Daphnia pulex: one gene and its partners. The protein of the gene in region 1 binds, or shares a complex with, the protein of each later gene. Links are inferred from orthologs where the notes say so. Each region holds a gene or a part of one and is shown in the gene's direction. Other genes may lie near its edges.

Evidence for each region.
Region 2: GATOR complex protein WDR24-like (region 1) and GATOR complex protein NPRL3-like share a complex: the UniProt entries of both Drosophila melanogaster proteins name them as parts of the GATOR complex. The link is inferred for Daphnia pulex from reciprocal best matches to the Drosophila melanogaster genes Wdr24 and Nprl3.
Region 3: GATOR complex protein WDR24-like (region 1) and GATOR complex protein NPRL2-like share a complex: the UniProt entries of both Drosophila melanogaster proteins name them as parts of the GATOR complex. The link is inferred for Daphnia pulex from reciprocal best matches to the Drosophila melanogaster genes Wdr24 and Nprl2.

What each region holds. Positions count from the first base shown.
Region 1 is NC_060022.1:5,701,221-5,704,972, reverse strand, and holds the start of GATOR complex protein WDR24-like, read left to right. Parts: upstream 1-865; 5' UTR 866-1,061; coding exon 1,062-1,152; intron 1,153-1,219; coding exon 1,220-1,336; intron 1,337-1,400; coding exon 1,401-1,516; intron 1,517-1,581; coding exon 1,582-1,688; intron 1,689-1,760; coding exon 1,761-1,977; intron 1,978-2,067; coding exon 2,068-2,316; intron 2,317-2,387; coding exon 2,388-2,533; intron 2,534-2,602; coding exon 2,603-3,167; intron 3,168-3,228; coding exon 3,229-3,752. Other genes in the region: tyrosine-protein phosphatase non-receptor type 4-like, read left to right, coding at 15-245, 313-363. UniProt on the Drosophila melanogaster protein: An essential component of the GATOR subcomplex GATOR2 which functions as an activator of the amino acid-sensing branch of the mTORC1 signaling pathway.
Region 2 is NC_060022.1:6,641,631-6,645,382, forward strand, and holds GATOR complex protein NPRL3-like, read left to right. Parts: upstream 1-1,063; 5' UTR 1,064-1,173; coding exon 1,174-1,204; intron 1,205-1,274; coding exon 1,275-1,364; intron 1,365-1,434; coding exon 1,435-1,541; intron 1,542-1,617; coding exon 1,618-1,794; intron 1,795-1,853; coding exon 1,854-2,759; intron 2,760-2,831; coding exon 2,832-3,097; intron 3,098-3,158; coding exon 3,159-3,327; 3' UTR 3,328-3,750; downstream 3,751-3,752. Other genes in the region: uncharacterized protein LOC124195566, read left to right, coding at 340-416, 519-885. UniProt on the Drosophila melanogaster protein: An essential component of the GATOR subcomplex GATOR1 which functions as an inhibitor of the amino acid-sensing branch of the TORC1 signaling pathway.
Region 3 is NC_060028.1:1,956,976-1,960,707, reverse strand, and holds GATOR complex protein NPRL2-like, read left to right. Parts: upstream 1-996; 5' UTR 997-1,262; exon of another isoform or gene 1,263-1,340; 5' UTR 1,341-1,383; coding exon 1,384-1,446; intron 1,447-1,518; coding exon 1,519-1,636; intron 1,637-1,706; coding exon 1,707-1,955; intron 1,956-2,026; coding exon 2,027-2,163; intron 2,164-2,221; coding exon 2,222-2,319; intron 2,320-2,385; coding exon 2,386-2,516; intron 2,517-2,600; coding exon 2,601-2,643; intron 2,644-2,708; coding exon 2,709-2,835; intron 2,836-2,961; coding exon 2,962-3,141; 3' UTR 3,142-3,215; downstream 3,216-3,732. UniProt on the Drosophila melanogaster protein: An essential component of the GATOR subcomplex GATOR1 which functions as an inhibitor of the amino acid-sensing branch of the TORC1 signaling pathway.

The sequences.
Region 1 (3,752 bases):
AATTATTTTATTAGGCTCCCGTTTTAGCTTCTCAATTTCTAGAATACGTCCGTCACATTCAGAAACTTGGCAATAATGAAGAAGAGAACGTGGTGTTGGTACACTGTTCGGCCGGAATCGGACGTACGGGAGCGTTTATCCTGCTAGATTCTGTTTTACGGCTCATGGAAACCGATTGCCCCATCAATCCTATCCATTTGATAAAGATGATGCGGGATCAGAGACCTATGATGCTGCAAACTTCAGTAAATAATGTCTTCCCGTTTAAAGCTTACTATCATATTTTGTTGTTATAAAAATTATTATTTCTAGATTCAGTTCCAGTACGTTTGCGAGTGCATCATCGAGAGTTTGCAAGGTTGAATAAGGTTGAATTACGTGTCTACCGGGAAATTATTATTCAGTCTATAGGAATCCCAAAATGACTGGGAAACTAAGTTTAAAAAAAAGAAGGCACTAGTCAAGAAGAGCGGCATCTACCATCTATTCATCAATTGATGGATTTGGCTGAATCTCAGCACGAGGCAACTCAATCCAAAGATATTTTCATTTTTATACATTCTAACCCAAATAGCTTTGTTCACTGCTACCAAAAAATTAACTAACTCATTTTGCTTCCATCGCATATTTGCCAATGGATTATTTGAAAAAGAAACTCACATTTTATAGCTACAAGTGCTAGATCTTCCACCATTTTGTGTTCCCAATCGAACAAAATACATTTCGTTTTTTTATTCTATGTTTGCCGACTTTTCAACACAAAAAACTTTTCTCATTCTGCTTTTGTGCTTTTAATTGGAATCGCAAATTTGCAATTCGCAACGTCGCAAGGGAAAATTCGTTGCTTTGGTTATGGTAAAATGTTGCAACTGTGTGAATCAGCAGACGACTGTGAGATTATTGTCTTTGTTGATGTTTTGGTGTGAATCATTTCCTTTGAATTCTATACCCTTTGTCCTATCGAGTATTGTCCCCAACTTTATCATTTCCTTTAGTTTCAAAATCCGTTGATACTTATTTAAGCTGCCCAGGGAAAACCTAGGGCTGTTGTGATCATTGCGATGCATCACATGACATTGATGCAAGAGGGCCCGATTAATACTCTTGCCCTCAATCGAGACTGCAATAAAGTTGTTGTTACCGGCAGAAATGGTAATGCTAATAATATTAAAACATCGAAAATTTAGTTCTGCTCACATTTTCATATTTTAAATTTTAGTTTTCAAGGTTTGTGAAATCAAAGACACAGGTTTTGTTGAAAGAGACAATATCCGAACAGGAAAGAATTCCAATCTAAATTTTTCTTGCAATGATGCCTCTTGGAATCCAGTTGATGGTAAACTTCTTCACTGATTTTAAGTTACATGATTTAACATGTCTATTTAACTAAATTTGTGTAGAGCAATGGCTGGCCACTGCTGCCACTAATGGAGCTGTTGTCTTATGGAACATTCAGAAATCTATTAAGCTCAAACAGGAAACAGTTTATAATGATCATAAAAGGACAGTTAACAAGGTATTATCTTAAATTTTTAGTTGCCTCATTTTGTTTGAAAATGCTTTTATTGGGGGAGAATGTAGGTGACTTTTCATGGCTCAGAACAGAACATGTTACTTTCAGGAAGTCAGGATGGGACTATGAAGTATTTTGATATCAGAATGAAAGCTGCAGTCATGACATTTGTCAGGTAAAACAAACTGAAATGTTATTAAAACTTGGATCTATTTAACTAACATTGTATGCATTCTCGAAATTTTAGCAACGCAGAGAGTGTACGAGATGTGCAGTTTAATCCATACCAGTGTTTTAGTTTCGCCGCTGTGTCAGAGAACGGAACCGTTCAGTTGTGGGATCTCCGGCGCCAAGACCGATCTGAGAAACAGTTTACAGCACACAGTGGACCCGTTTTCGCTTGCGATTGGCATCCTGAAAACAAATCGTGGCTCGCCACAGCCGGTAGAGACAAAGCCGTCAAGGTCTGTTTTTGGAAATTTTACGCGTTTATATTTTAATTTTTTTCCTCAGCCAGATGACGAACGAATGATTCAGCATTATACCATTAATAGGTTTGGGATTTGGGTTACCGACCAGTGTTGGAATACACGGTAACAACAATGGCTTCAGTGGGCCGTATTAAATGGCGCCCTCAAAGGATGCATCATATCGCCAGCTGTGCACTTGTTATCGACAGTGTGATCCACGTGTGGGACGTTCGTCGGCCTTATATCCCGCACGCTTCTTTTAACGATCATAAAGACATCACAACTGGTATTGCTTGGAGAGGTTCTCCGGACGTTCTACTTTCAACTAGCAAAGTCTGTTATATGAAAATGTTGAATTAATTTTTTAAAATCTTATCTGATTTGTTTAATCAAAATTTACTTAGGACTCTTATCTCATCCAACACGTTATTGCTGATGCTGAAAGGCCAATGGAAAAGGCCAATCCCATTTGTGTCACTTATAATTCTAAAGGAAGTTTGACATTGGCAGCAGTTGATAAGAACTCCAAAAAGAGTAAAATTCTGACACTGTGAGTTTTTTTTTTAAATTATATTTTCCATTAAAATAGACTATTTAATTTGTTAAACTGTTTTGTTAGACCCAGAAAATCTAAGTCTGAGTCTGAAGACTATCCGGCCGTCCGGTGTTCTATTTACGTTTTTGAGAACGAGAAACCCACACCTGCGCAAGTGTTTCGGGATTGCGCACGACATTACTGGCTGCAGACAACGACGGGAAAATCTTTGGGTGAAATTTGTGATCATAATGCAGTCGTGGCATCAAACGCTGGTCGGATTCAAATCGCCACGATATGGCGAGTTGTCAAACTTCTTTTTGGCTTTTCCGGTTTGGAATTGACTTCAACTTCCGCGGTGACGTCAGTCGGTTCCAATCGACCGACAACCGTCAGCAAAGAAGAATCAGAGCCAGGTGATTCCGGTATCAAAGACGCTTCAACTCGACCCAGCACGAGACACCAGTCCGGAAATGTCTCATTTCCCAATCAGCAGGCAACACAACAGTCTGAGACTTTGGTAAATGGAAGTGGATCTAATAACAGTAATAGCGCCCCAACGTCCAACAGTAACGAACGCGGAGTCTCGGACACTTCTGGAGGTGTCAGCGAAGAAGCCGAATCCGAGGTGGAAGACATTGATTCTCAGGTAAAAGGATATATGGGTGACAGTCGTTGCATTTAAAAAATAAATTCTATCATTTGATTAGGTCATGCTGTCACATATTGCGAGCGGTTCTCACTTTAATACGAGCGATTTTTTCTTCGGGGATGCCGAAGCCGATGTGTTAAATGACTTTAATGGAACTTCAGACTCTGTGCAAGGCAGGAAAATTAGTGGAGATACTGACCAGCAGCAGCAGCAACAACAGCAACAGTCGAATCAGATGGATTGGATTTTACCTAGTGAAGCCTTTCAGCTTCGTCACGAAATCAAAGATCGGTCTCCACCTCCGGAACACTTTCCCAGTCGCTGCTTTGCTGGAACTCGTATTGAAGCTCAGATGGTAGAGGTAGAAGACACGACGTCGGCTCTTTTGTGTTTACCTGGATCGTCCAGTAGTCTCGGCACGACCTGCTGGAGTGGCGTTTCTAACGCTGTAGAGATGGTTTATCACATGGCCGAAGACGGTGATGTCCAAACAGCCGTTTCGCTAATTTTAGTTTTAGGAGATCGGATTCGTCACATGTTAAATGAGTCAGCCGTAGAGCATTGGATTCTCGCTTACATTGA
Region 2 (3,752 bases), about 940 kb from region 1:
TCTGGATTCTGTTTGTTTCTAAAAACCATAGTTTACAATTCTTAGCGCTAGGTGGAGACAACCAACGAACACCTCTCCCGTCCCCTCAAAATTTAACCGCAAATATCTTTTAATTTAATATCTTCACAAGAAAGGTGCTTTGGAGACTTAGAATAGCTTTTTTAATCTCTATCGATTGACCCTTCTTAAAAAAATATGATTAAAAATACACCCGACAAGCTATAACACGGCGGGATAGGACGTGAGTCCCGTCCTCTAGCTTTAGTAGTCCATGGTGGATACAACAGGCCTTAACCATAGAGTAGGCCATGGGGTAACTAGGCTACTACTACTATAAAAATGTTGGCTGTTAGATCTTTCAATAGACTTATTTATTTCAAAAGGACACAAATTGGAATCCAAAATGAACAACTGAGGTATGAATTTTGAAATATTAACTTGTGCATCTGTGTGAGTGTGACCTTATTATGGAAAATGAGTATGTGACAAATAAATAATGATGGTATATTTTTTTCTAGGACTGTTATGCAATCTTGTTGCAGTAGATCCACTAAGCAACCAGAAAATCCTGATATGCCTTTGTCATTTTCCAACTCAAACGCTGCCAAATGGTCAGCACAACAATCATTTAGTGGTGGAGGAAATACTGGTGAATCTCCATGGTATGAGCCATTTGTGATTTCAGCTAGTGTTACTGCCATACTAGTGTGGTTTTGTGTCCTGAGAGAAGAAAATGATGTTGATGATAAACTTGGAAAAAGTTTATATGACAGAGTTGATGGTTTGGAGAAGAAACAATTGGAATTGGCTTTGAAGCACAATATCCAAGGAGTGGATACAGTAGCCATTAAGAAGAGACTAGATGAATTGTCAACAAATAGTTGAATTTCCTATCTGTAAACATAATTTAATTGAAGTTGAAATACATTAAGTAAAAACCAGTTTATTGTTTGGTAAATTTTTTGCGATTCTCCTTTTCAAATCATTTGTTTGCTATTTATTTTTTTTACGTTGAATCTGTGAAGAAACCGTAGATGGCACTGTTTTGTTTTTGATTTTTAAGAATGCAGACGAAAATTGAAGCAAATCTCAAAAATTGACAGTTTGCGTCTTGCGTGGTGTTTCTGCCTCTAAACGCCTGAAGTTAGCGAGAAAATTCATAGAAAAAGAAGCATGGATGTCAATCCGTTGGCGGTAATTTTGGGTAAATATATTATTTACAGATAAAGCTTATTTCAAAAGAAAATATTTAATGGGAACAAACGTGGCTTTAGTCGAAAACGGTAGCAAAGGTGATCGTTTGTTGTTTCGCTATCCTTATGATACTCAAGCTACACCAAACTTTGCAAAACGTACACGCGCAAGTAAGTTCCTTACGAAACTCCATAACTTCCAGCGCAAGTCTCCAAGTTTTTTCTCTGTTGTATTGTATAGAGCAACTGCAAACTCCATACCCCCAGATCAGTGCTGAAGATATGCAAAAAACAAGTGCAGCATATTCCAGTACAATTAGTGGTAGTGTTCACAGCTTTCCAAGCAAAGTATGTTAATATACTCTCTTAATATAATCTGTTTTGAAACATTGAAGGTTATTAAAACATTTTTTCAACTATTTAGGTATTATCCAATTTGTTTGCTGTGAAATCAGAATTGTGTGGAAAAAAATTTGAAATAAAAATAAATGACATTCGGTTTGTCGGTCATCCACTTCTTGTTTACCACCAGGGTGAAGGCAAATCTGCTGGCTCTAGCCAGGAATCAATTTTGTCTTTCAATGTAGTTTTTGCCTTAAAGGTAAAGAGATTCCATTTTAAACTTGCATGATTTTCATCAATATTTTTTACACTTCTAAGGCATCTGCAAGTCATGCAGTAGTTGACTGTTATCATGAAGTAAGCAAGAGAATAGCAGCTGCACTTTGGCATGAAGAGCGTAGAGTGGCATATTTGAGTGAAGAAGCCAAGGTCATGACATCCACTCAAGATGACATTTCTTCGGAATTGCCCGATGATCCACTAGATGTGCCGTACCATTTAATTTTACAACGAAGTCAGCTTGCGCGCGACTTGCGTCGTGTCTACGAAGATTTACAAATTTCTGGGAAGATACATTTGCGCATCAATCGATGGATTCTGATCAGCTGCTGTTTACCTCAAAAAATCTACCACCTTCTTGACCCTGGACTTGTTATTGAACCAGCAGACATTCATGCTTGCATGGAAGCATTGAGACCATACCACGCCATTTTGCTGCTTGGGGACAAAGAAAAAATCATCAATAATCTACCTCTTGATTCGTCCCCCGCTTTGAAACGACTCATAAATCTTGCGAATCCCCTAAAAAGTTTACAAACTTTAGCAGCCGATGCTGACTTGACGCTATCACACGTCTTTCAATTAGTGGGTCACATGCTATACTTTGGACACGCAACCATTATATATCCTCTTTGTGATAGCAATGTTTACGTCCTTGCAGGCAGTGCCAACACTTCCCCACAATCCAAACTTGCTGATGTCTTCTCCGAAATGTTCAATAGTGCTTGTTTAATTCAGATTATGTCCGAATTTTCCGTTCCTGTATCATTGAGCCAGAGAAGGAATCCACTCGCCACTCCAGAGCAAGAATCAGAGGAAATTAAAATTATTATTTGGATGCTGCAACATCATTTGCTCATACAATTGCACACATATGTACATATTGTCGTTGATGACATGCATCCGAGATCATTTAACAAGGGTTCATTTCGTAGTGCCAAAACGGTAAGTTTTTGTGTTTAAAGTATAACGATTACTGTAGTTAAATCAGACAGTATTGTTTGAATTATCCCCTAGACGCGTGTAACGTTTGCAAGTCGCCAGTCCACTCCAGATGAATTGAATGCTGGATCCAGCCTTACACGAATGCCCAGCGATAGCGACATGGCCTCTGTTATTAGTGACGAGGCTTTGTCCAGTCCACCTTCACATAAGAGCATCAGTAGTAAAGCTCCGTGGTCAATCGAAAATATTCTTTCGGCCTCTCTGAGTAATGCTGAAAGAGAGGCTGTCCTTCAAGTTGATGCCGCTGCCAACTCAGAAGACTTGGAACTTTTTGCTCGGTAAGCTAAACTATTATTTAAAAACATCTTTTCATGAATAATCTAATAGAAGAAAACACAGGCTTTGCAAATATTTCCGCGGGAAACACCATCTAGAGGAAATCATGTACTTGGAAAATGTTCGAAGATCGGACCTACTTCACCTTATTGACAAATTTCGAACTATTCTCATTACATTCGAACATGAAGATTCAGCTTGCTCCGTTTTCTACAAGAATTCTACAACTTAAATATCATATTTTTCAGTGGAAATCAAAATTGGTGAATGTTATATGGAAGTCGTTTTCACTTGATTTAAGTTAAAAGCGGTATGTGAACATTGGCGTTAACACTAGCTCGCATCAAAAACCCTCCCTATTGGTCTCCTACGAAGCCGACTGTTGCCGTAGCTCAATACCTGTGTCTACATCGCAGCTTGCGAGGTAATCTTACGTCAGGAAGTCGGTTGGGGGCTAGTGACAGATAGGCCAATGTCGCATTCCTGTTCAACCTTTGTAAACTTTAAATTTTATCTCAGGACAGTATATGTTTTATTTGCTATTAAAATATGAATTTTCCTAAATATTTTACAAAATCCTTAGAATCAAATTTGGCAGAAAGTGAGATTGCTAATTGTTTGGTAAAGCAAGAATAAATATATCTACTTTTACATATG
Region 3 (3,732 bases), on another chromosome or scaffold:
GAATTAAACCAAAAAAAGTTCCCGAATCATCGATGAAGCTATTACGCCCATAGTGTAAGTGGTTATTGCCCAGACCAGACCCATATGACTGACCAAAGCATCGTAGCAATTGCAACGAGACTGCCAATAGCCATGAGGAGTGAAAGCTGTCATCTTCATCGACACTTCGGCCACAAAAACGAAGCTCAAACAAGAGCTGATAGTGACACTGGGACATTTTTTAGTCGAGATAAAGTTGCAGCGGCAACAAAAAATGTCCCCCTTGTGGGTGTGTTATAAATCATTTGGTAAAACTGGAAAAAGGGTATTTTTTTCTTATTCCAATAACTTTTTTGCTGTGTTACTTTTGATAAATGTAATTGAAAAAAGTAAAGAAGGATAAACGGGCTTCAAAATAAGACTAAGTGGGGATTTTCGGGTGTTTTTTTTTCTTATGTAGTATGAATTTTTAGTTTTGGGATTCCGCCATAAGCGCCGTGTTAAACACGGCGAAAAAATTTCTTAAATAAAAAACAATGTGTATAACTAATAAATTCATGAAAAAATAGTAAATGTCAATCAAATTGATTCAAATTTGCAACACATGTTTATTGATAGATAAACTATGATTACATGTATTAAACATTTATAAATCGTTATAATTATACCCCTAATTCCCAATTACAAATTTTCATTTACATTTTTTTAAACGATCCAAATGGTCGCTTTTGTCCTCCTTCATTGGTAATTAAAGAAAAAAAATTAGAAATAGTGTTCATGAAAAATTTCTAATTAAAATTTGTTCTAGGTATACTCGTATATTTTTCAGCTAAAATGACTGGACTACTTGGCCCTTGGTCCCGCCCCTGCCAAGCCCAATCTCCGGTCGTAATCAAACAGTTCAAATTCAAATTTTCGTTTTCGTAAATTTTTAGTGCTGCCCCTCCCGCCCCAGCCCAACTTCGGTCGTAAACTCGTAATCAAACAGTTTGTGATGAAAGACGATAAGATTGTCGCTACGCGGCGCTGACGTTGATGTTTATGTTTATGTGTAATCTGAGAGGCAGAAAATGGTCATTTCTTAGACACTTTTCCAGGTCCGATTAATCAGCGAATATTGCAAACTAATCAAATTCAAGTGCCTTGGACCTAAATCACTATAACTTCGTTACTTGAAAAATTTCCCTGTAAATAAGTGATGGCTTGAAATGGTGGCGTTTCTGTAAACAAGACCTCACATGGCGCTTCAGACGGTAGCCTAAATCAAATAAAGGGGCGATTTTGTGTGTTCCTTATCATTTTAACTAATTTTTTTGATTTTTAATGTGAATTACTCATGTTAAAGAAATCCTTTTTCATAGGTTGACTATCCAAGTGATATAGTCGAGTAAATCAAATAGAAAAATGATCAAAGCAATATTTTTTTCCGAGTTTCATCCTACGTTGGGGCCCAAAATCAGTTACCAGGTAATGGTGTAGTGGTGTGTAAAATAAAGTAATTTTGTTGTTTCAGTGCTTTGTCTTAATATCGATTAAAAGGTGCCAGAGGATTATGTTTCCAAAGAAATATTTGATGCAGTTAGTGTTTACATCATTCCTAAAGAGCAGCTGGACAGTTGTATCATTACAGTGAATGTACTAGGGCACAAGATAACAGGTTTTTATTCAAGAATTCTAACAGTCCAAGTATTTTGACTCATTACCATCCTTTTTTCTAAAACCTACAGGATATCCAGTGCGCATTTCAGATGAAAAATACCCACGTAACTTTCTCATTTTCAACTTGTGCTTTGTGTGTGACTCTGATGCCAGAACAGTGCAGTATGAGCTTGTAGTTAGGAAATTAGCTGAGCATTTGGTCACCCTGGAAGTTGAACAGAATTTTTTATCCACTGAATCCAACAGGGCCAAGTTGCCCAAAATTTTAGGTCAAATTCTAAGTGATCTCAATCGGGGTGGCTTGTGCACAGTTACAGGTAGGTACATGAAGATTCTCATTTTTTGTCTAACATTTCCGTTTCCGACATTTACAAATTGATTTGATCAGTTGGGACCTCAACACTGCACTTAAAAGTGATCCAAGTAGCTGCTGAGCCACCCCTGGTATTTGACCACCACGTTCCCGTGTTCACGTCAGAATTTTCTCCTTTAAAACAAGACTATTGGGACCTAACAACCAAACAGGTAAACGAAAATGATTCTCTTATTTTATTCATTTTAATAACCCTTTTTCGTGCGTAAGGTACTGCCATACATTGATGGACGCAGCCATGTCGCTAGAGTGGCAATCGAGGCCGACGTGGACATTGGTTTGGTCAAAGCCTGCATTCAAAATCTCTTGTAAGTCAATTGATATAGTAGTCAAGTGCTGTCCTTCTCTTGACCTTATTTTCTCTTTTCGGTTAGATATTACGGCGTCGTCCAGCTCATTCCCATCTTCCAGTACAGCAACATGTACGCCGCTACACCCAAACTCCGAGAACTGCCCATGAATTCAGATTTGAGTCGAGAGTGCATCGCTTTTGTTGCCAAATCTGGTAGAGAAGAATACCAAGTGTCTTGTTATCATCTTATCCACTTTTCAAGTTGACTGTGAATTTCTTCTCTCGTTTATATTACAGATAGACATCCTCCTTCCTTCCGAGATGTTTTCCAAATGTACTGGTGAGTTTATCCTCTAATTCTTATCAAATCCCCCCTAAATGAATTCATTTTGTAATCGATGACAGTGGGATGACGTACGGGACTACCATAAGAGACCTGTGCTTGCGCTTCAATCCGCACGCGCTTCGCATCGACGAACATCGGCTAGTCCAGTTTGGCGTCCTGCAGGGCATCATCCGCCGCATTTGCAAGGTTAGCGAGTGTGCGCTGTTGATTAATCCAATTGATTATTTCGATTTCTTCCTGGACGTCGGTTCTCGAATAACCCATTTCCCATTGAACTGATAACTCAATTTGCACGCTGTTTGAATGGGCTAGTATCCGGTGTACAAACCGGAGACGCAGCGCGGATCGCACAAGAAACAGATGACCTCGTTGCATCGGCTGTGCACTGGAGTGGCCTCTTACGACGAGATCTGCTGCCGCACCGGACTGTCCTACCACGAACTGGACGACAAAATCGAAGCCGATGTCGACATCTGCGTCCTGTGGAAGTGAAATCCGTTCCCTCCGACCCCATATCTTTTTGTATCATTTGATTTAAGTTTCAATAATAAATTTTATAATGGCCACTTTTTTTTTCTTTTCGATTGTGGAGGAGCAGCAAGTTCAACGGTCGTTGGTGAGGATCACCTTGCACGTCTTTCCCCATCGTTTGCAATCGGATCCGTCTTGATTGCACACACACACAACCCACCAAGTCCTCTCGATCCTCCGTTGTTATCACGCCACTTGGGATGGTGGTGCTGCCCCGGTGTCGAGAGATGAACGGGAACGCCCGCCTTCGTGTTTGGCGATTCGTTAGGAGTCATTGCTGGCTTCCCACCGTCTTGAAAGTCGAGCGAGTTATATAGTAGAATGCCTGTGGAATTTATTTTTTTACCGTTTCCCCTTGCGCTAGACAAGGTGGGGGGCACTCACGCGGGCGAGTTATATTTCCAGCAGCCGTATAGAGAGCGCGGGCTGGAAGGTACACCAGTAAATCTGTCGGCTAGTTGACAATCTTTTCGGCTGTTAAAACGGCGGGGGGAAAAATAGACGAAAAAAGAAACAAAACAAACAATAAAGAAAATAGAAGCCCCCACACAC